Linked DNA regions of Ovis aries. The protein of the gene in region 1 binds, or shares a complex with, the protein of each later gene. Links are inferred from orthologs where the notes say so. Each region holds a gene or a part of one and is shown on either strand. Other genes may lie near its edges.

The links. Proteins that work in one complex are often made in the same cells at the same time.
Region 2: the proteins of ITGB3 (region 1) and SHC1 are in contact, whole or in part, in an NMR structure (PDB 2L1C), measured with the Homo sapiens proteins. The link is inferred for Ovis aries from reciprocal best matches to the Homo sapiens genes ITGB3 and SHC1. Residues at the interface, in NP_000203.2 of Homo sapiens: Trp765, Asp766, Thr767, Ala768, Pro771, Leu772, Tyr773, Lys774, Glu775, Ala776, Thr777, Ser778, Thr779, Phe780, Thr781, Asn782, Ile783, Thr784, Tyr785, Arg786, Gly787, Thr788; in NP_892113.4 of Homo sapiens: Ser175, Met176, Arg177, Asn182, Arg184, Thr185, Gln186, Thr188, Arg189, Glu190, Ser193, Leu194, Arg208, Arg209, Lys210, Arg214, Pro215, Leu216, Ser217, Ile219, Met257, Gln258, Ser259, Ile260, Ser261, Phe262, Ala263, Ser264, Gly265, Pro268.

What each region holds. Positions count from the first base shown.
Region 1 is NC_056064.1:46,088,148-46,098,001, reverse strand, and holds part of ITGB3 (integrin beta-3), read right to left. Parts: intron 9,594-9,854; coding exon 9,432-9,593; intron 7,133-9,431; coding exon 7,037-7,132; intron 6,626-7,036; coding exon 6,536-6,625; intron 5,847-6,535; coding exon 5,712-5,846; intron 4,148-5,711; coding exon 3,718-4,147; intron 1-3,717. UniProt on the Homo sapiens protein: Integrin alpha-V/beta-3 (ITGAV:ITGB3) is a receptor for cytotactin, fibronectin, laminin, matrix metalloproteinase-2, osteopontin, osteomodulin, prothrombin, thrombospondin, vitronectin and von Willebrand factor.
Region 2 is NC_056054.1:105,189,134-105,198,987, reverse strand, and holds the start of SHC1 (SHC-transforming protein 1), read left to right. Parts: upstream 1-1,224; 5' UTR 1,225-1,356; exon of another isoform or gene 1,357-2,323; coding exon of another isoform or gene 2,324-2,329; exon of another isoform or gene 2,330-2,333; intron 2,334-2,374; 5' UTR 2,375-4,541; coding exon 4,542-5,036; intron 5,037-5,580; coding exon 5,581-5,651; intron 5,652-6,167; coding exon 6,168-6,231; intron 6,232-6,389; coding exon 6,390-6,509; intron 6,510-6,785; coding exon 6,786-6,839; intron 6,840-7,026; coding exon 7,027-7,078; intron 7,079-7,253; coding exon 7,254-7,380; intron 7,381-8,334; coding exon 8,335-8,533; intron 8,534-8,619; coding exon 8,620-8,689; intron 8,690-8,762; coding exon 8,763-8,897; intron 8,898-9,061; coding exon 9,062-9,300; intron 9,301-9,854. Other genes in the region: CKS1B (cyclin-dependent kinases regulatory subunit 1), read right to left, coding at 807-865. UniProt on the Homo sapiens protein: Signaling adapter that couples activated growth factor receptors to signaling pathways. Participates in a signaling cascade initiated by activated KIT and KITLG/SCF.

The DNA.
Region 1 (9,854 bases):
TCTCTGACTTCCCACCTTCTCCATGAAGCCCCCCAGGGCTCCCCTGTCCACAGTGAGTCTCTCTATAACACTCACTGAGGACACTTCACTTCTGGGATCTAGCAGGTTCTGCCTTGTGCTGTGAATTCTCCTTGGATAAGTTTATGACAAAACTGTCTTATTCATGCTTCTCTCTCTCTTTTTCTTTTTTTGGCTGTGCCAGGTCATAGTCGCGGCATGAAGACTCTTAGTTGCGGCCTGCAAGATCTAGTTCCCTGACCAGGGATCGAACCCGGGTCGCCCTGCATTGGGAGTTTGGAATCTTAGCAACTGAACCACCAAGGAAGTCCCTTATTCATGCCTCTCTGTCCCACAACACTATGGCACACAGCACAGAACCTGGCTCACATGGGCGCCTGATCAGTGTTCACGTGAGTCGATTCCTAGGCAGGTTGATAAGAAGTCCGGGGGTCCCCAAGGAGACGGGGATCTGGGATTCTCAAGGAGGAGGAAAGGACAAACTTTTTTTCCCTCTACATTCTTTAGGATTATATATCAATAATGTATCCTGCTTGAGGACAGTTTCTGGGAAAAAACCTTGATGTGACAGGGGAAGAATCCCTTGAGGACAAGGATGCCCACGCCCTGAGGTTTGAGGGGTGCTGATACCATGCAACCACAAAGACCATGCCTCCAGTGGGGAGGAGGGGACAGGGACAGCCAGGGGCTGGGACCATGGCCAAGTCATTGCACTCCCGAGCCCCTGCTTGAGCAAAGAACAGACCAGGCCAGCAGCTCTAGGCAGGGAGGGACAAGGATGAGCTGGGCTATAAGCCCCGCCAGGTCAGGAACCACACATGACCCCTTTGCACCCATGTGGACCGAGGGCCTGGCACAGAGCAGGTGTTCAGCGAGCATGTGTCCCTGGAGGATGTGATAACGGCAACAGAGGGTCCAGACCTGAGGCCGGCGGGCACCCAACACCCTGGCAGGAAGGGAGAGGGAGGCCTCAGAGCTGCAGTGGCTGCCTGGGCTTCCCTCGTGTGATGGGCTGGAGCTCACCGGGGACGAGCTGTTCCTGTGCGGCTGGGAGGCAGGAATAAGGGCTGCTGACCCAGGGCCTTTGTTCTGCGGCTTCAGTGGGGCGGGCAGCCAAAGGAAACACACTCTGGCTGGGATCCCTCCCACATGCCCCACATCAGACCAGGAACAATCAGCCCATAGAGTAGCAGCGGGCCTCCCTCCCACCCTGGTGCCGTCATGGTCTGTGTGTAAGCCTCTCCTAGGGGCAACTTTTTTTCCCTCAGTCCCAGCCTTCTCCTCATGTGTCTCCCACGTCAAACTTAACCATTCCCTTTGGTGCCTTGAATATGACGTGTGTGTGCTTAGTCGCTCAGTTGTGTCCGACTCTTTGCAAGCCCGTGGTCTGTAGCCCGCTAGGCTCCTCTGTCCATGGGATTCTCCAGGCAAGAATACCGGAGTGGGTTGCCATGCCCTCCTCCATGGGATCTTCCCAACCCAGGGATCAAACCCAAGTCTCCCGCCTTGCAGATGGATTCTTTACTGTTTGAGCCACCAGGGAGCCCTGGATACAACATAAATTACTGTTAAATATTAGAAGGCAGCAGTCCCCAACCATTTTAGCACCAGGGATGGGTTTCACAGAAAACAATTTTTCCATGGACTGGGGTTGGGGGGGATGGTTTGGGGATGATTCAAGAGCATTCCATTTATTCTGCCCTTTATTTCTATTATTAATCCATCAGCTCCACCTCAGATAATCGGGCATTAGATCCCGGATGTTGGGGACCCCTGTGAAAAGGAACCGAAACTCTTGCCTCACTCCTGAATTCAAATTGCTGGCTGTGTCTGTGTGCCCGTGCATATCTGATCTCTCTTTCCCCTAATCTCTCTCATATCAATTTTTTGTTATAAGAAGATATTTAATTTGATCAATCTCATATGCTATAAAATATTACCACAAATTGAAGATTTTAACATTCTAGGAACAGTATTCCTTTTCTCTGATACCATTTTTCTCCAGTCTCTCAAATTTTGTCGACTTGAGTAAACAGTGTTGTAGGTAATATTACTTGAGTATGCTTTAGAATGACACACACTTACCTTTCTCATCAAGATTTCCTCAAGGCCAATGTTAAAGTGAACACCTGGGTAGATTAGCTCCGCTGGTTAGAGCCCCAGCGCAAGCGAAGCCCATCTGGGTCATAGGCTTGATCATCCCAGAACCCAGGGATACTCTCTGTTCAATGGCCACACAATACAACTGCAAACTGGTCCCAACCAAACTGCAGATATCCTCAGTCTCTCTCTCACAATGGGGATTAAGCCACAGTGACTACAGCCCAGCAAAAATGTATCCCTAGTGCTCAGGAACAACTCAGACTGCCTAACTGCCTCTGGGAGTGTTGTCAGCGTGTCTGCAGATAAGGATCATGTTAACTTAGTTGGACTTCTAGCTAGGGAAGTACCCCAGGAGTGGGCTTTGGGGTAAGCAGAAACCAGCTTGAGAGTATCATGGGCCTCAAGATTTTACTGAATTTTGTAATGAGGTAGACAACAATTCAGCATCCTGCAGGTAGAAGGATTCAAACTCATAGTCCCCAGCCTGCAGTCTGGGACTGTCTGCGGCAGCCTGCAGTCTGGGACTGTCTGCGGCAGCCTGCAGTCTGGGACTGTCTGCGGCAGCCTGCAGTCTGGGACTGTCTGTGGCAGCACCCCCAAAAACCATCTGTGCTGTGCAATACGGTGGCAACTAGCCACACATGGCTCCTGAGGAACACAGAAACTAACTTTTTAAATTTAATTTGATTTAAACTTTGTACTTAAGCTTTCATTAAACTTGATTCATTTAAATTTAAATAGCCACCATTTTGGACTGTAGAGATCTAGAGTACAAAAAGTAATAATATACCAACAGTGATAATAAAATAGTACCAACACTTAATAAGAGTACCAACACTTAATAGTACCAACACTTACTATTTTTCAGTCACTCTCCTAAGTGTACTGGCTCATTAAATGTGCTCCAATATCTTGCAAAGACACTACTTGTTTTCTACATGTTGCGTGATGAAAATATAAATTCATGTAAAATAATCATTACTAACTTCATTACATATTCTGACATCGTGTAGTTTCCAAACCTATGTATACTAAAATTCTAATTAGCATTAGTCAGTGACTTTTTTTTAAAGTGAGAAAAAGGGTTGGAGGACTTTCCTGGTGGTCCAGTGGTTAAGACTCCACTCTTCCAATGCGGGGGACGGGGGGCAAGTTTCGATCCCTAGTCGAAGAACTAAACTAAGATACCACATGGTATGGCCAAAAAAAAAAAAAAACTTTTTTAATTTAAAAAAGGGGTTGATTCATATCCTCAAAAAGATTAGAAACCAGTGACTTAAAATGTGAGCTGAAGGGCAAATGAGAGAAAAGAAAAAAACTATCTTCACTTTCAATTTTCCCCACTCTTTCCCACCCTCTGAAAGCAGACACTCATTTCCTTCCTTGTGTCCCTCGTGAAAGGACAGAGGGAGCTGAGGGGAATTAAAGAGAACCTTGCTTCTATTTCCTGCCCTTGGAGTGGAACACCATCAGCTCCCTCTGTCCCTGAGCCACCCTGTGCCCACCTCAAGCCCTAGCCTGCATCCATTTCCAGAGGCTGCAGATGCGTGAGTGTGTGTGGGTACCAGGATGGAAGGCATGTGCAATTCTACTCACCTGAGCACATCTCCCCCTTGTAGCGGACACAGGAGAAGTCATCACACTCACAGTACTTGCCGGTGATCTTGCCAAAGTCACTGCTGTGGCAGACGCACTGGCCACAGAGACACTCGCCCCGCTGGCTGCAGATGGGCTGGCCCTCCCGGGGGCTGCACTCGTCCTGTTGCGAGGGGCGGTAGTCCTCTTCCGAGCACTCACACTGGGACCCCAGCCAGCCAGGCCCACAGCGGCACACCCCACACTCAAAGGTCCCATTGCCATTGTTGCAGCGGTGGCTGTAAGGCTCAGCCTCAGCCTGGCAGGCACAGTCACAGTCGAAAGTGACCTGCACAGTGAGGCTGTCTTTGAAGCCCACAGGCTTGATGGTGAAGGACTTCTCCTTCTTCTGGGGACAGCCACGCACTTTGGCCTCAATGCTGAAGCTCACCTGGACGGAAAGTAAGATCGTGTTCAGACACAGGGGACCCTGTTGACACTCCAGCACTGGAGGGAAAGAAGCTGTTCCCTGCCCTGCCCAGGAATACTCAAACTGGGTGTCCTGTCCCCCGCAAGCCAAAGTTCCTCAGCTTTGCCACTACCAGGGTCTGCAAAGCCAAAGCAAGACCTGGGGACAGTTGTGCCATTGTGACCTGCTGGCTGGGTGCAGACATGGCTTATAATCACGAGATAGCTTTTAAAAAAAAAAATAAATAAACCAGTTCATGCAGAGCAGAACCTATGATCTTATAAACACTCTGTCTTTGGCCAACTAAACTAGCTGATTACATAATATCAAGGTACACAAAGCACTATTTTGTGGCATTGTATGGTAACCCTGGGGCTTCCCGGGTGGCTCAGTGGTAAAGAATCTGCCTGCCAATATAGGAGATGAAAGAGACACGGGTTCAGTCCCTTGGTGGAGAAGATCCCCTGGAGAAGGAAATGGCAACCTGCTTCAGTATTCTTGCCTGGAAAATCCTATGGACAGAGGAGTCTGGTGGGGCTACAGTCAATGGGGCCACAAAAGAATCAGACATGACAGCAACTAAACAGCAACAACGGTAACCCTAACCCTAACCTATACAGTGTCACATAGTGGCCAACCTCAGGCTCAAGACCTACTGTTCAATTTCTTTATAGTTTTTGTTGTTCTTTCTTTATTTATTTATTTTGGTCCCGCCTTGCAGCATGCAAGATCTTAATTCCCCAACCAGGGATGGAAACCATGCGCCCTGCAGAGGAAGCCCAGGGTGATAACCACCAGACCACCAGGGAGATCCCTGTTCAATTTCCATATGACATTTCATCACTTGTGCAATCAAACATGTTTCAGGCCAACGTTTCTTACTAGGGTGTGTGCACATGTGCCTAGAATGTAGACAGAAAGAGGGATAGATATAGACATTAAATAATACAGACATGGATGATACAACTATAGATAAGCCCCTCTTTTCTTCCCACCCCTTTCACCATCCCTCTCCCCTAAGGCAGAAACTGAGGAGAACGAACCACTAGGGAAGGAAAGCCACAGAGGGACTAAGAAGGCAAAATGAACGTTTGCATTCTGAAATTCCATGATGGTGGGTATTTTCACCTATTCTGTTGGCTGCCAAATCTTCAGCAGCTAGGACAATGTCTGGCACGAAGTCAGGGCTCAATAAATATTTACAGATGACATTTCCATTTACGTTGTGAAGCAAAGAAAGGCATTACTTTAGAGGAGGGTGGAGACCAGTAAGGGGCTGAAGGCAAGAAATATCATCTGCAATCGACTGTGCATAAATAGTCACCTAAGTGCAAGTTTTTTAAAAATCCTGACAGGGAAGTTACTTAACGGAGAAAGTTTAGGCAACAGAAGCCTCGGAGGCAAAGGCTGGCAGCTCCATTACATCGGACTTGTAAGGACGTTCAGGAAGAAAGTACAGGGAAGGAAGGGGTGGGTGCCCACAGAGGTTCCAGGGCACGAGCCAAGGTGAGTGCCCCAGCGTCAGCCCCTGTCCAGCCCACCTCACCGTGTCTCCAATCTTGAGTCCAACACAAGACTTCAGGCCTGGGATGACTTCGTTGTTGAGACATGTGGCGTTGAAGGATAAGGACAGCTCCTCGGGGAGGTCACGCACTTCCAGCTCTACTTTAGAGCGGATTTTCTGAGCAAAAAAGGGCAAAAGAAGGCAAGAAAACGGGCTGAGAGGACACAAGTAGGGGCCAATTACATCCCAAGCAAAAATCACCAGGTGGTCCTGGACTCACCTACCCCCCTAAATGCTGAGGTCCACCTGCCAGCTGCCACAGCATCCTTAGGAGCCTGTATCCCACTAACCTTCCAGCCCAAGACCTGCTCTCGCTCTTTCTCCACTTGTGTCTAGGTGAGTCTGGGTAAAATCTAAACCAGCTGTGCCCTCCTGCAGGCGTGCTGATACTGGTCGCCTTGAGTAGTACCACTTTCTACCTACGTTTTCATCAGCCTCACATTCCCCATAATTCAGCTCCCTCTTTCCTCTGTTGTTGGAGCCCAGCTCTCCCTCAGTCTGTACCCACTCCCAGTTTCAGGGCCCTGCTCCTTAACATCATCCCCATTGTCTCTTTCCATTTCACCTTCTCTAAGCATTTCCTCTGTTGTTCCTACGGCTCCCTCCATCCCCTCCTGAGCCACTTCTGTTGCAGAAGGCTGCATTCCTCCCAGTGCTGCCTATCGCCTAGCCTCTAGAAGCACAAGAAGAAGGCAGTCAAGGCTGCATGGTGGACTAGCTGCCAGGACTCTCAAATCTGAGGCCTCCTGGGTAATGCCAAGGGCAGTGGACTCTTAGCGGGTCTATTCCCAGTGTAAGACACTTACCCCATAAGCATCCACAATGAGCTGGAGAACATTGCTGGAATCAGTAGACAGAACCCCCACTGTGGTCCCTGGGATGAGCTCACTATAGTTCTAGAAAAGAAGACAAAGATATCTAGGAATGACTGATAAAGATGGTGATCTCCAAAGGCCCTCCCCAAATAGATGGAGGGTCTTGAAAAGAAAATTGAGGGAGGGATGGGATATTTTACTTATCACTGCCAGGAATATATCTAGCAGCTTTTCAGCCCTGAGAAAAATTACAGAGAACCTCTCACACCACTCTTCCCACTAAATTACTCTCCTCCACCTCTGCAAACGTCAATACACCCATCCTTGTAGGTTCAAGGTTGGAGGAGAGAGGTTCACCAAAAGTAATCATTAGCTCCCAGGTCTTTCCTGATTGGGGACCATGGCCAAAGGTAGTCTGGGTTGGTTCCCTGAGATAGGTCCACCCATCACAGACCCCACTCCCACTCCAGGAAGCCCCGAAGGTATAGTCACCTGGTAGAGATTGACTACACTTTCAGTCACTGCAAAGATCAAATTGATGTTTTTCTGGGATAGCTTCTCAGTCATCAGCCCCAAGGAGGGATAATCCTGTAAAAAGGGAGGATGTGGGAATTAGTTAAGAAGTAAGAAGTCTATTCACATACATCCCTGGATTCTAAACTTTAGGACTTGGTTGATTGGAGCCATGGCCCAGACAGTGGTGGGGCTTTAACTTTTTCACCCCATGACAATGAGAAGCAAACACAAACTCAGGTGTGAACTCAGGATAGATGAAGAGATACAGGCTTGTAGTATCAAAACTAAACACCTCTTTCTTCCTACTCAGATGTGAAGCAGCCACACCAAGGAGCAGCTTCCTGGACCAGGTACTGCCAGGCCTCGTCGTTTTGATGCCCACTCCTGTTTTGCGGCTCCTGACAAATGCCTTGGCTTGGTGCTCACAGTACTCTGCCATGTGATCTCAACTTTCCTTTCCAGTCATCATGCAACCTCTCTCCCCTTTTCACTCACCACTATCTGGAACCCTGTCTTTCTCCCACCTGAAGTGGACTTCTTTTTGTTAACCCTCCTTCCTTAGGATCCAGCTCAGGTCTCACCTCTGCCAGGAGGCCTTCCTTGACCACCCCAATTCACAATGAGCTTTCTTCTTTTGAATACCTAAAGCCTTTATCAAATGTTTCACCTAATTAGCATTAATCATGCACCTTCTGTTATTGGTACCATATCTTCTTGACTAAACCAAAAACTCTTTAAGAGCAGGGCATTATATAGTCTTGTTAACATTCTCCAACCCCAGTAAGGGCATGCCTAGTGTGTGTGTGTTCAGTCGCTTCAGTTATGTCTAATTCTTTGCCACCCCATGGACTGTAGCCCGCCAGGCTCCTCCATCCATGGAATTCTCCAGGCAAGAATACTGGAGTGGGTTGCCATACTCTCCTCCAAGGGATCTTCCCAATCCAGGGATCGAACCCACGTCTCCTGAGTCTCCTGCACTGCAGGTAGGTTCTTTACCACTGAGACACCAGGGAAGCCCCAAGGCCTTGCATAGACTAAATGTCAGTCACTATAGACTCACCCATTGCTTGGTAGTGCTCAACCTGCATATTGCTGATACCAAAAACTCAAGCCAAAAAGGCAGTGCTGACGAATTATGAACATATCTCTGGAATCCTAGACCTTTCAGGGAGCTCATGAGATCATGAAACTCAGGTTCCTACCCTTACACAGGTGTACATTTAAGCCACCTAGATGGAGTAATTGCTATATTGTCTTTAAGAAATGAAGAGTTCCCATCTCCCCCTATATACTCAGAGTATCAGTATTCTGCAGGTCTGTACATTTTCTTTATGGTTTACTGCAATTTCTCTTATTTCCATGTAAAATCCTTTCCTTTGTTTTACCTACTGTGGACATAGAAAACAAATTCTAAGAAGTCTTCTCAAACAGAGTAGTGGTTACCAGAGGGGAAGGGGTGGAGGAGGATGAAATGGATAAAGAGGATCAACTGTATGGTGACAGATGGAAACTAAATTTGGGGTGGTGAGCATGGTGAAGTGTATGCAGAAGTAGAAAGATACTGATGTACGTCATGAAACATATCATGTTATAAACCAATGTTACCTCAAAAAAAATAATAGCTTTTAAAAAAGTCTTCTTGGGACTTCCCTGATGGCTCAGTGGCTAAGACTCCAGGCTCTCCATGCAGGGGCCCTGGGTTCAATCCCTGGTCAGGGAACTAAGATCCCACATGCTGCAACTGAGAGTTCATATGCCACAATGAAAATCAAAGATCTAAGTGCTGCAACTGAGACCCAATGCAGCCAAATAAATAAATAAAATATCTTTTAGGGTTTTCCATATTAAAAAATAATAATAAAATTTTTTTAGTTTTTAACTTTAAAAAGTCTTCTCATGTATCAGCTAAACCATCCTTTAGCCCTTGTATTCCAGCTAAATGACTCTAAGCCCTTTATCCTTTCCTTACAGGACTGGCTCGCCGTGGTTGGCCAGTCTTTGTCTCTTTTTCCTCTGTCTTCTTCCAATAACCACAGAAAGCATGATGCTTCAAGAAGGGGCTAATCTGTACACAGTGACAGGATGGCCCTGCTTTCCAGCTGAACATGTAAAAGTCCTCTGGGTCCATTCTGGATGCCATGAGGCTGCAGCTGGTGCTAGAGGCAGTGGAGGTAGCAGTAACACTGACCCCAGCCAGGACCATCTCTAATGGTTGTGCAGGTTGTACCCTGGATGAAGACAGGCTGCAAAGAGCCCTGTATCTTCCCCAGAGGAAGGCCTGTCATTTTCATACTCACACAAAGACTCTGCCTGAGTTAGGGCAGTCCTGGCCACAGTGAATAGGAACCATAAGTGGAAAAAAGAATCTCACCATGGTAGTGGAGGCAGAATAATGGTTGTCATTGCCCACATGACACTGCCCATCATTGGGCTGGACGATGCCTGCCAGCCTTCCATCCAGCGCTATATGGGTCTTGGCATCAGTGGTAAACACCAGCAAGTGGGAGGCATCATTCCTCCAGCCAATCTTCTCCTGTTTTTAAAAAAAAAAAAAGGTAAAAGACAGCAACTTTAGCTATGTCACTGGTACAACACAAAGACCCAAGGAGTTCCCAATCTGAAGGGCTAGACATGGGCTGGAGAATGGCCTCAGTCCCAGTCCTTGGAACACAAGCTGGAGCTATCCAACTCAGCAGTTTCTGTTCTCTTAGAAAAATAGTCTCAGAGCTCACTAGCTCAAGGAGCTGAAAGACACCTACTTCATCTCCAAATAGAACTTCTTCAATGAGAATCA
Region 2 (9,854 bases), on another chromosome or scaffold:
ATGGAGTCCTTTCTTTATCATGTTTGGTAAATCCTATGTGCTCCCACCACAACCTACATGTACATAGCTCTATTATACCAATTATCATCTTCTTTCTGAAGCCTGTCAGTATTTCCACATATTTTTTAGGTCTGTTGAAAGCAGGGACCATGGCTTATCCGTGTACTTTAGCAGAACACCTGAAACCTATAAACACTCCATAATTGTTTCCCAAGTAGATGCCCTTCAAACATTTGACGGTAATCTATTAGGGCCATATTAAGTCTTTCCTCAGTGGTTCTGGTCAGTTTTACTCGATTCCAGTTCCTCGAAGCCCCCCTTCCTAAAACAAATCAGACAACCACGCCCCTTTCCCATGGATTAATAAGCAACACTCAGGCTCTCTTAGAACTCTCCTCACTTTGAAGACTCGAAGAAAATTCAAGCTTCGCCTTTGCCACCTTCTCCCAGAAGGCTCTACGGTGTGGCTGTAATACAAGCAGTCTCAGGAAGGCAAGTTCAGTTTACTCAACTGAGGTGAGAGAATGGTCCAGAAACCCGCAAAGCTGAGGGTGGTCAGTATTCTAACATTCGAACACTCTAACCACGACCACCCATGCCTCCTTCCAAATTCGCTATCACTCTAGGGGTTTTTTTTGATTGCCCCCCTACCTTTCGCGCATGCGCCTCACACTCTCAGCACACCCATTCCCGTTAACCTCCCGCGCATGCGCCAACTCTGCAGTTTTCAGTCCCCGTTACCAACTTCTCGTGCCCTCAGTTGTCAGAACTCACGACCTTGATATTGCCCCCGCGCCGGCACTAACCGGTACTCGAACTCCTCGTCGTCGTATTTGTCCGAATAGTAAATTTGTTTGTGCGACATGATCACTCTGCCTGAGGACCTTCAGCCCCGCGCCGCCAACCTCCGAACAACTCCCAGCAGCACGCGCTCCCACCCTCTTTGGCCTCGCTTTCAAACACGCCGCCTGCGCTTTCTATTGGTCCCTCTGCCGGAAGGCGGGACAACCCCACCTTCAAGCCTCCGATTGGCTTAGGTTTGCTTCTACTCAAGTCCTCATTGGAATGAACATTGCTCAAGAATTGCCGTAAGTAAAAAATAGACGTTTTATTGGCTATCACTGCTACTGTGCTCGTCCGCGCACTGCCATTGGTTGATTCGGGAAAGAGGGACGGGTGAAGGAGGGACAATGAGGTACAGGGTCAGGGGTTAGTGAGGCCGGAAGTGAGTGCAATAAAGTTTCTCCAGGGAGGCCGGGCCCGGGGAGAAAGTTGGAGCGGCAACCTGAGGAGACAGTGGCGTGATCCGGAACCAAATCGGCCCGCGGTGCGGTGCGGAGACTCCATGAAGTCCTGGTGAGTTGGGACATTTTTCTTCTTAGGTGACCCACTCCTCTACCCCGGAACCCCTCTCCCGGGACCCTACTTCCGGTCTTCATTTACAAGTCCCGCCCTCTGCGACCCCCTCCCCGGAAGTCCCACCTCCCAACTTCAGGGGGCTCTCCGAACCCCGACTTATATTCCATTTACTGTCCCCAATCCTACCCTGTCGTCCAGCTTTCCTGGAAGTCCCACCCCCAGACATGCTTCCAAACCCCTGCATTAGTCCTTCCGATTCCCCGAAACCCCGCCTTCTCGAGACTATTCTCCGTTAACCCCTGTCTATCAAAAGCCTAACTCCCAAAAGGGCAGAACCCTGCTACTCAAAGAACTATTCGAATTCGTGAGGCCACGCCTCCCTAAGGGTTCCGCCCCTTTAGAAGCCTCGCCCCTTCCTTAATCCACGTCGGATCGTCCAGAAGCCTCGCCTCCTGGGAGTCTCTGGTGCACGCGTCTTGAGGGGCCACGCCCCTTCAGGAGCGTTATCCCGGTTGGACCCTTGTCATCGCCTCAGGAGCTTTGTCTTCAATCCCAGAAACTTCACCTGCTTGCGCTTCCTCGTTCCTTTTCTCTTTGGGGCCCTTGGCTCAGTTTTCCTGAGCTCTTAGGCTCCACTGGATAGGGTCAAAAGTTCACATCTCTGACTCTGTGGAGTAAGAGATTAGAGGCAGCCCTTTCCCTCTCCCTTAGCCCCTTCCAAGGGTGGACCTACTTGAAGGGGGCTGGACTTGGGGTTTGGCACGAGAGTGGGAGGGAGACTTGCTCACAGATTCCCTGCCCCACTCCCTGAGTTTCCCTTCCCAGGACCGACTCCACCCCAGAAACAGCTGTTTGTCTCATACCTGTACGACGGGAGCTGGGTAGGGCCGTGGATTTGTCGATGTGTGACATGTGGGTGTGACAGAAGAGAAAGTTTTCTACCACCTGAAGACGGTGGCTTGGAATGGGTGTAGGTAACAGTGTCCTTTTTGATGTTTGATTTTTTTTTTTTAAGGGACTCTTCAGGCCCCACCACTTCTCTGGCTCTTCCCCTCCCCCAGACAGAGTTCTAGTCTGGGCATTTCTCCTGGTCCTGCTTGCCCAGCCTTCCCTGCTGGAAACATTCCTGAGGCTTTCGCCATTTCCTGCTACTTTCCGCCTCTCTTGCCTCCTCCTCCCTGCTGAGCTGAGAAGCCACATGCAGCTTCTTCCCCACACCCAGTCGTTCAGATTCCCAGTAGCAATCCCCTTTCTTCCTTCAGATTGCCAATAGCAATCTCCTTTCTTCCTCCGTAAATTTAAAGAGCCCTACTTCCTCTTTCTTTTCTAAACATGCCCACACCTGTAGGTCATCCCTTGTCTCTGGATTCTGCAGGCACCCACAGAATGCTCACCTCTAAAGATAGGATATCCTGGTGTGTGCTTGTGTGTGTGTGGGGGGTGGGGGGCGGTGAGGCTTTGGCAGAATACTTTCCTCTTTCTCTGTTTCTGAGTGCTGAGGCCTTAGGAAACAGTGATAGGTTTTCTTCTCAGGAGTGGTGCATGGGGTGGTAAAGCTCTCCTGGGTTCAGGACTACGGGGGCGGTGGTAAGCACAGTATCTAACATGTTTTCATTGTCAGGATTGTTAATCACTGTAATCACAATAATTTGCATTTTTTTAATATTCTGAAGTAAATTTAAAGATAGGTAATTCCGAGGTGAGCCTGCTGAGGGTATATGTATCTTTTACTACTACTTCTATTTGGTTGCTTTCCAACTTCCCCTGTGGCCTCCTGGAGCAGAGCTGTGGCAGGATGCTGTGGGTGGGAGGAATGAGTTTGGGACTGTTCCCTGTGTCCAGCCTCAGTCCTCTTCTGGCACCCCTTTCTCATGAGCACAGATTTGACTTCTGCGCCTCTGTCCCTTCCTGGCCACTTCTCTTGGACAGCCGTTGCACTGCCCCATCTCCTGTGGTCAGACTCTTTCCTTGATATGAGGGGTATCATGCTCCTTGGTGGATACCTGCCCTCTCTCTGGTCACTACTAAAAAGGAGGGGTATGTGTTCACCTGGAGGTCTAGGGATCTGACCTTAGTGTCAATGCCCTGGCCACCCCTCACCCCTTCTGCCCTTGACAGCTTACTTTCCTGTGGAAGAGGGGGGCAGAAGAGTATTTGGCTTGGGCCTCTGCTCCTTGGCATGGTAGGCGCCATGCATGGAGAACAAGCCTCCACCAAACTGTCCTCTGCTCCAGCTCCTGCCCGGTGGCTCCCTGATGTGCCACCCAGCTTGGACTTTATTCCTCTTACTTTAACAGCTTTGCCTTTCCTCTTGGCCCCTCCCTGCATCCACTGGGACCATGTCCTTCTTTTTCCCATTTCTTTAGCTCCCTCCACAGCTGTGATAGCCAAGGAGGCTAATGGCTCAGGCTCCCTAGGGCCACCACCCCTCTGTGGGGCAGTGGTGGGGGGGCGCTGGGGCTGGAGGCTGAGGGAATTTGAGTGTTCAACCAGGACAGGAAGGGAATTGCTGAGCTCAGGGATCCCCTCCCTTTCCCACCCCCAGCTGCCTCTGTTTCCTCCCTCAACCTCCTCCTCGCCCGCCGCCCCCCCCCCCCCCCCCCCCCCCCCCCCGGCCCCACCGGTCCCTCAGCTTCCTGCTCTCTTTGGCCTGCCCTTGTCCGGTCTGGATTGATCCAGACCTCCTCTTATCGCCCTCCTTTCCTTCTCACTCCTCCATCCTCCCCCAGCCCCCACTTTACTCCTCCCCCAGTTACTTGTTTGTATGGTAGGGTGGGGGAACCAGGCAGGGGGACATGGATCCCTCTGCCCTGCGAGAGTTCTGGGTTGGGGCAGTGTTGGGGGCTCAGCCCCTCAGAGCCTGTGAGTCAGCACTGTCCTTGGGATTGGTCTCTCCCCTTAGCTCCCCGCCCCTGGGGAGGAGCTAGGCAGCTCTAGGTCCAGCCTGTTCTGTTCTCAGCCTGAGAAGAGGCTCCAGGCTGGGCGGGGATGGGGCCTGAAACTGTCTGGGTCTGAGCCGGGGAAGCCAGAGCTACTTGTCCCTCTCCCTCTCCAGGACCCTTGAGATCCCTGGGCCATAGAGGTCCGATCAGGCTAAGGGCCTGGGATGCCCCCTGCCTGGCCCCCTTGCCCTGACTGGCAGGGGGGCCAGGCTGGGTAGCAGCCTCCCTTTCACCCCAGCCATGGATCTCCTGCCCCCCAAGCCCAAGTACAACCCACTTCGGAATGAGTCTCTGTCGTCGCTGGAGGAGGGGGCCTCAGGGTCCACCCCACCGGAGGAGCTGCCGTCCCCATCAGCCTCGTCCCTGGGGCCCGTGCTGCCACCTGTGCCTGGGGACGATAGCCCCACCACCCTGTGCTCCTTCTTCCCCCGGATGAGCAGCCTGAAGCTGGCCAGCCCAGCTGGGGGGCGCCCAGGCCCGAAAGGGGAGCCAGGAAGGGCAAACGAGGACGGGGAGGGGGTCGCAGGGGCAGTCATGCTGGACTCAGGCCCCCTGCCCCTCCTCCAGGACATGAACAAGCTGAGTGGAGGCGGCGGGCGCAGGACTCGGGTGGAAGGGGGCCAGCTGGGGGGCGAGGAGTGGACTCGCCACGGGAGCTTTGTCAATAAGCCCACACGGGGCTGGCTGCATCCCAACGACAAAGTCATGGGACCCGGGGTTTCCTACTTGGTTCGGGTGAGTGAACATCCTCTCCCTCCCACTCCCTCCCGGACCCCTCCAGTTCCTCTGCTTACTAATCTCTTTCTCCCCCCCTGCTCTTCCCCAGCAACTCCCTTGGTTTCGGTGTCCTGTTTCTTAAACCTTTCTTGCCCCTTCTCCAATTCTCTCACCTCTTCCCTTCCAGCTCTGTCTGGGGCCCCTTCCTTCTGGTAACTCCCCTACCCCCACCCCGCCATGCTTAGCACAAAGCCCAGCACAAGCCCTTAGTAAGTGTTGGAATGAGTGACTCTTGACTATCCCCTCCAGTCTCCTCCCCGCTTTCTGGAGATGTCACTCCATCCCACCCGATGCCCGTCACGCCTTCCCATAGGCATGCGGTCCGCCTAGCTTGCCCTTCTCTCTTTGCCCCTCTTGTCCTGCATGTTGTGGGGTATATCCGTGGGCAGTGGCAGAACTTCTTCATCCTGACTTCCCTGAGGGACCAAGGAAGGAGAAGTCCCAGGGCCCTTTGTGAAGAGGGGGGAGGTGGCTTACCGGTGTCCCCTGTCCCTCCCCTCAGTACATGGGCTGTGTGGAGGTCCTGCAGTCTATGCGCGCCCTTGACTTCAACACCCGGACTCAGGTCACCAGGTCAGTGGGGCTTGGGGGAGGGGCAGTCCCAGGATTCATGAGAGGTGGGGAGAATGGGCCACTTGGTGGTGCTAGTGATGGTTTATCTTTAGGTGGTAAAGGGGGTTGAGAGAAAGTTAGGGAAGTGAGTCTAAGTCTTAATGTAAAGGGGCAACTCTGCCCTGGCTCCTTATTATCCAGCCCAGGGAGTTGTGGGGGAGGTGGGCAGAGGCAGCTAGCAGCTAGAGCTGGAGTGGAAAATGGGGGTAGCTGGAAGGTTGCTGCTGCCTTTGGGAAGGGGATGGGACATTTGGTAGCTAGAAGGGGGTGGGGCCAGACCCATTGAGGCCCTAACCCAATCAGCCAGGAAGCGGCCTCTCAGTGTCATCAAATATTAAAGGCCCTTAATTCAATCCACCACGACAAAGAGCCTGGAGTGCCCCTGGAGTCTGGCCTGGCCTTCCCCTCCCCCAGCCCTGTGGCGGCCCCAGCCGAGTGGGAGGCAGGCTCTGGGTCTGAGTATTCCTCTTTCCCCAGGGAGGCCATCAGTCTGGTGTGTGAGGCTGTGCCGGGTGCTAAGGGGGCAACAAGGAGGAGAAAGGTACCCGGGGTCTGTGGGGCTAGGGATGCTGGGAGATGTGGAGGAGCAGGGGGAAGGCTAGTGTGGGGCAGGTGGGGAGAAGTCCAGAAGGCAGGAGTGTGGGGGTTTCCTGGTGTGGGGGACCCCCCAGCTTCTGAGACCCGTGGGCCCTTCCCTAGCCCTGTAGCCGTCCACTCAGCTCCATTCTGGGGAGGAGTAACCTGAAATTTGCTGGAATGCCAATCACTCTGACCGTCTCCACCAGCAGCCTCAACCTCATGGCCGCAGACTGCAAACAGGTTGGTGGGGTGAGGCGGCGGGGGTGGGGTGGGCAGAAACATCGATGGGAGGGCTAAATGGGAACTTGGTTATGAGGGTAAGACACTGGGAGAGAAGGCTTGGGAGCAGTGGAACAGTAGGGAAGGAGCAGATTAAGAGAACATGCGTTGAGAAGCCAAAAGGATGAGACTGGGACGCCAGGGTCTTGAGCCAGTGGTGGGCGGTGCCCAGTAGACTCTGAGGCTGCCTGATGCCCATCATTCCCTTCCTTCTCCATCCTCTGCCCTAACCCTCAGATCATTGCCAACCACCACATGCAGTCCATCTCGTTTGCATCCGGCGGGGACCCGGTGAGTTGGGGAATGGAGCTTAGGTGGTGGGAGGAGAGTAGGGGGCTAGGGATTGGGAGGACACTGGCAAGAGAAGTGAGCCCGCTAGGATTGCGGCAGTGTCTGAGAAAGGGGCCTGAAGGGGTCAGGAGTAGGGTGGGGCTATACAGTTTAGCTAACTGGCCTCTTCTGCCTCTGTCCACCCCAGGACACAGCCGAGTATGTTGCCTATGTTGCCAAAGACCCAGTGAATCAGAGAGGTGAGGTGTGGATGGGGAGCACTGGGTGGGGCTGGCTGTCCAAGGGGCAGGTGAGCAGGACCCGGGGGCTCCTCCTGCCGAGGGCCCCTCCTGCCGAGGGCCCCGTCTGTGCCTCCTCCCAGCCCCACAGTCCCCCCGCCGCCCAGCTCCCTAACAGCCTCTGCTGCACCCCCAGCCTGCCACATCCTGGAGTGTCCCGAAGGGCTTGCTCAGGACGTCATCAGCACCATTGGCCAGGCCTTCGAGCTGCGCTTCAAACAGTACCTCAGGAACCCACCCAGGCTCGTCACCCCCCACGACAGGTGCGCGGGTGAGGCAGGTGGGGGCGGGGGGCAGCCCACTCCCGGGGGCCCCAGACCAGAACTGGAAAAGGAGGCCTGCTCTTCCACAGTCCAGCTCAGAAAAGGGCAGGGAAGGAAATAACCTGCGTGCCCCTGCTTCCTGCTATTCTTAAGTTTCCTGTGGCCGGCAGGAAGGTGCTCCGTGGCCCTGCCCGCTGCAGGGCCAGCTTTTCCCGTCGGGCGCCCGTGGCGGGGCTGCAGTGCAGGACGTCCAGCTTGTCCCTGGCTAGACGGGCTTCTCTTTTCCCAGCCGTCTCGTTTCTGGTCTGTCTTTTTGTGCTTCTGTCCATACGTAGTTTAGTTCTTCACGTTCTTGCCTCTAGAAGCCATCAAGAATTTGGGCAAGGGAGGATGGCTCTTTCCTGAGATGGTCACGTTTCCCACCTCAGACCAGTAGGATCGAGTATTTAGAGGAGGGGTTGGGATATTCTAGGGCACCCCCTCCCTGGTTACTTGGTGTCTCCCCTCCCTCTTGGGAGACCGCGTGACGATCAAGGGCATGACGTTAAGGCAAACTCTGAATTGACACTCGGCTCCACCAGTAGCGGTGGTGGTTCAGTCGCTAAGTCATGTCCAGCTCTTTGCGACCCCATGGACTGCAACACGCCAGGCCTCCCTGTCCTCCACTATCTCCCAAGGTTTGCTCAAACTCGTATCCATTGAGTCGGTGATGCCGTCTGACCATTTCTTAGTTGTGTGACCAAAATCTTTTTATCCCTGATCATCATTTTCCTCAACTAAAAAACTGGAGAAGGAAACAGTATGTGCTTTATCGGTTGCCCAGAGAGTGAAATGATTATACGTGAAACACCCATCCTCAGGCCTACCCCTCAGGGAATGCCCCATACGTGACCACTGTTCCGTTCTCCCTCCGTCCTCCCATCCACACTCCTTTCTCCCTCCTGTCTCTCTCAGGATGGCTGGCTTTGATGGCTCAGCTTGGGATGAGGAGGAGGAAGAGCCCCCTGACCATCAGTACTATAATGACTTCCCGGGGAAGGAACCACCTCTCGGGGGTGTGGTGGACATGAGGCTTCGGGAAGGAGCCCTCCCAGGGGCTGCTCGACCCACTCCACCCAGTGCCCAGACCCCCAGCCACCTGGGAGCCACGCTGGTATGTTGCTTGGATGGAGGCGGGTGGGGCTTGGATGGGAGCAGCTGGTTAGGGCCTCTGGTTTCACTCTGTCTTGGTCCCTGCAGCCTGTGGGGCAGCCTGCTGGGGGAGACCCAGAAGCCCGCAGACAGATACCGCCCCCGCCACCCTGCTCAGGTATGAAGGGGACTGAGGGGCAGAGGGGAGTGAGAAGCAGGGCGGGGCCCCTCTAAAGCCTCCGTTTTCTCAGCAGGCAGAGAGCTCTTTGATGACCCCTCGTACGTCAATGTCCAGAACCTAGACAAGGCCCGGCAAGCAGGGGCCGGGGCCGGGCCCCCCAATCCTGCCATCAATGGTAGTGCACCCCGAGACCTCTTTGATATGAGTAAGTGTGCCTCTCGCCTTTCTGTGTCTCCATCTTCTCACTTGATTCCTCCTCTTTTCCTGCCTCTCTGCTTTTTGCTTCCTGGCCTCCCCTCCCTAAAGGTCTAGGTCCTGAGCATAGGGTTGTGTCAGCTGCCTCTCCTAGCCCTCTCTCTGTATCCCCAGAGCCCTTTGAAGATGCCTTGCGAATGCCTCCACCTCCCCAGTCAACAGCCATGGCTGAGCAGCTCCGAGGGGAGCCCTGGTTCCACGGGAAGCTGAGCCGGCGCGAGGCTGAGGCACTGCTACAAGTCAACGGGGACTTCCTGGTGCGGGAAAGCACGACCACGCCGGGCCAGTACGTGCTCACCGGCCTGCAGAGTGGGCAGCCCAAGCACCTGCTCCTGGTGGACCCTGAGGGAGTGGTGAGTGTGGCAGGGGTGTAGGTGGGCATGGCAGAAAGGAAGGTGCAGTCCCCTACCTGTGGCTCTGCTCCTGCCTCACTGCTTCCTAGACTTTGTCTGCTGGGCACCTCTGTCTGGGCCTCCCCTGTTCCCAGGTGTCTGGCATCTCCTTCGTCTAGTGGTTTAGAGTTCCTTCCCTTCTCACATCCCTCACCTGAGCTGTATTCCCTTCAGTCCTTGCCAGTCCCCAAACGTTGTGCCCTTGAGAGCTAGAAAGTGGTCATCTCACTAGTCCCTCTTTTGACAAATAAGGAAACCATCCGCCAGAATTGTAGTGCTCTATGTCAGATGTCTAGAGGCGAAATATCCTGAAACTTTTCACAAGAGGAGCCAGGGGCCTCCCCAGCTCCTGCAGACTCAGGAGTCAGACCAGAGCCCTGTCTCCTGTCTGCGCCGCCCGCTGCCCCTCATGACTTCACTCTTGTTTCTGCAGCAGTCTCAGCCTCCTTTGCATGTCTTTTTGTGTCCTGTGTATCCTCTTCTTGGACATACCGCCCTCCTCCAGGTCAGGGAAG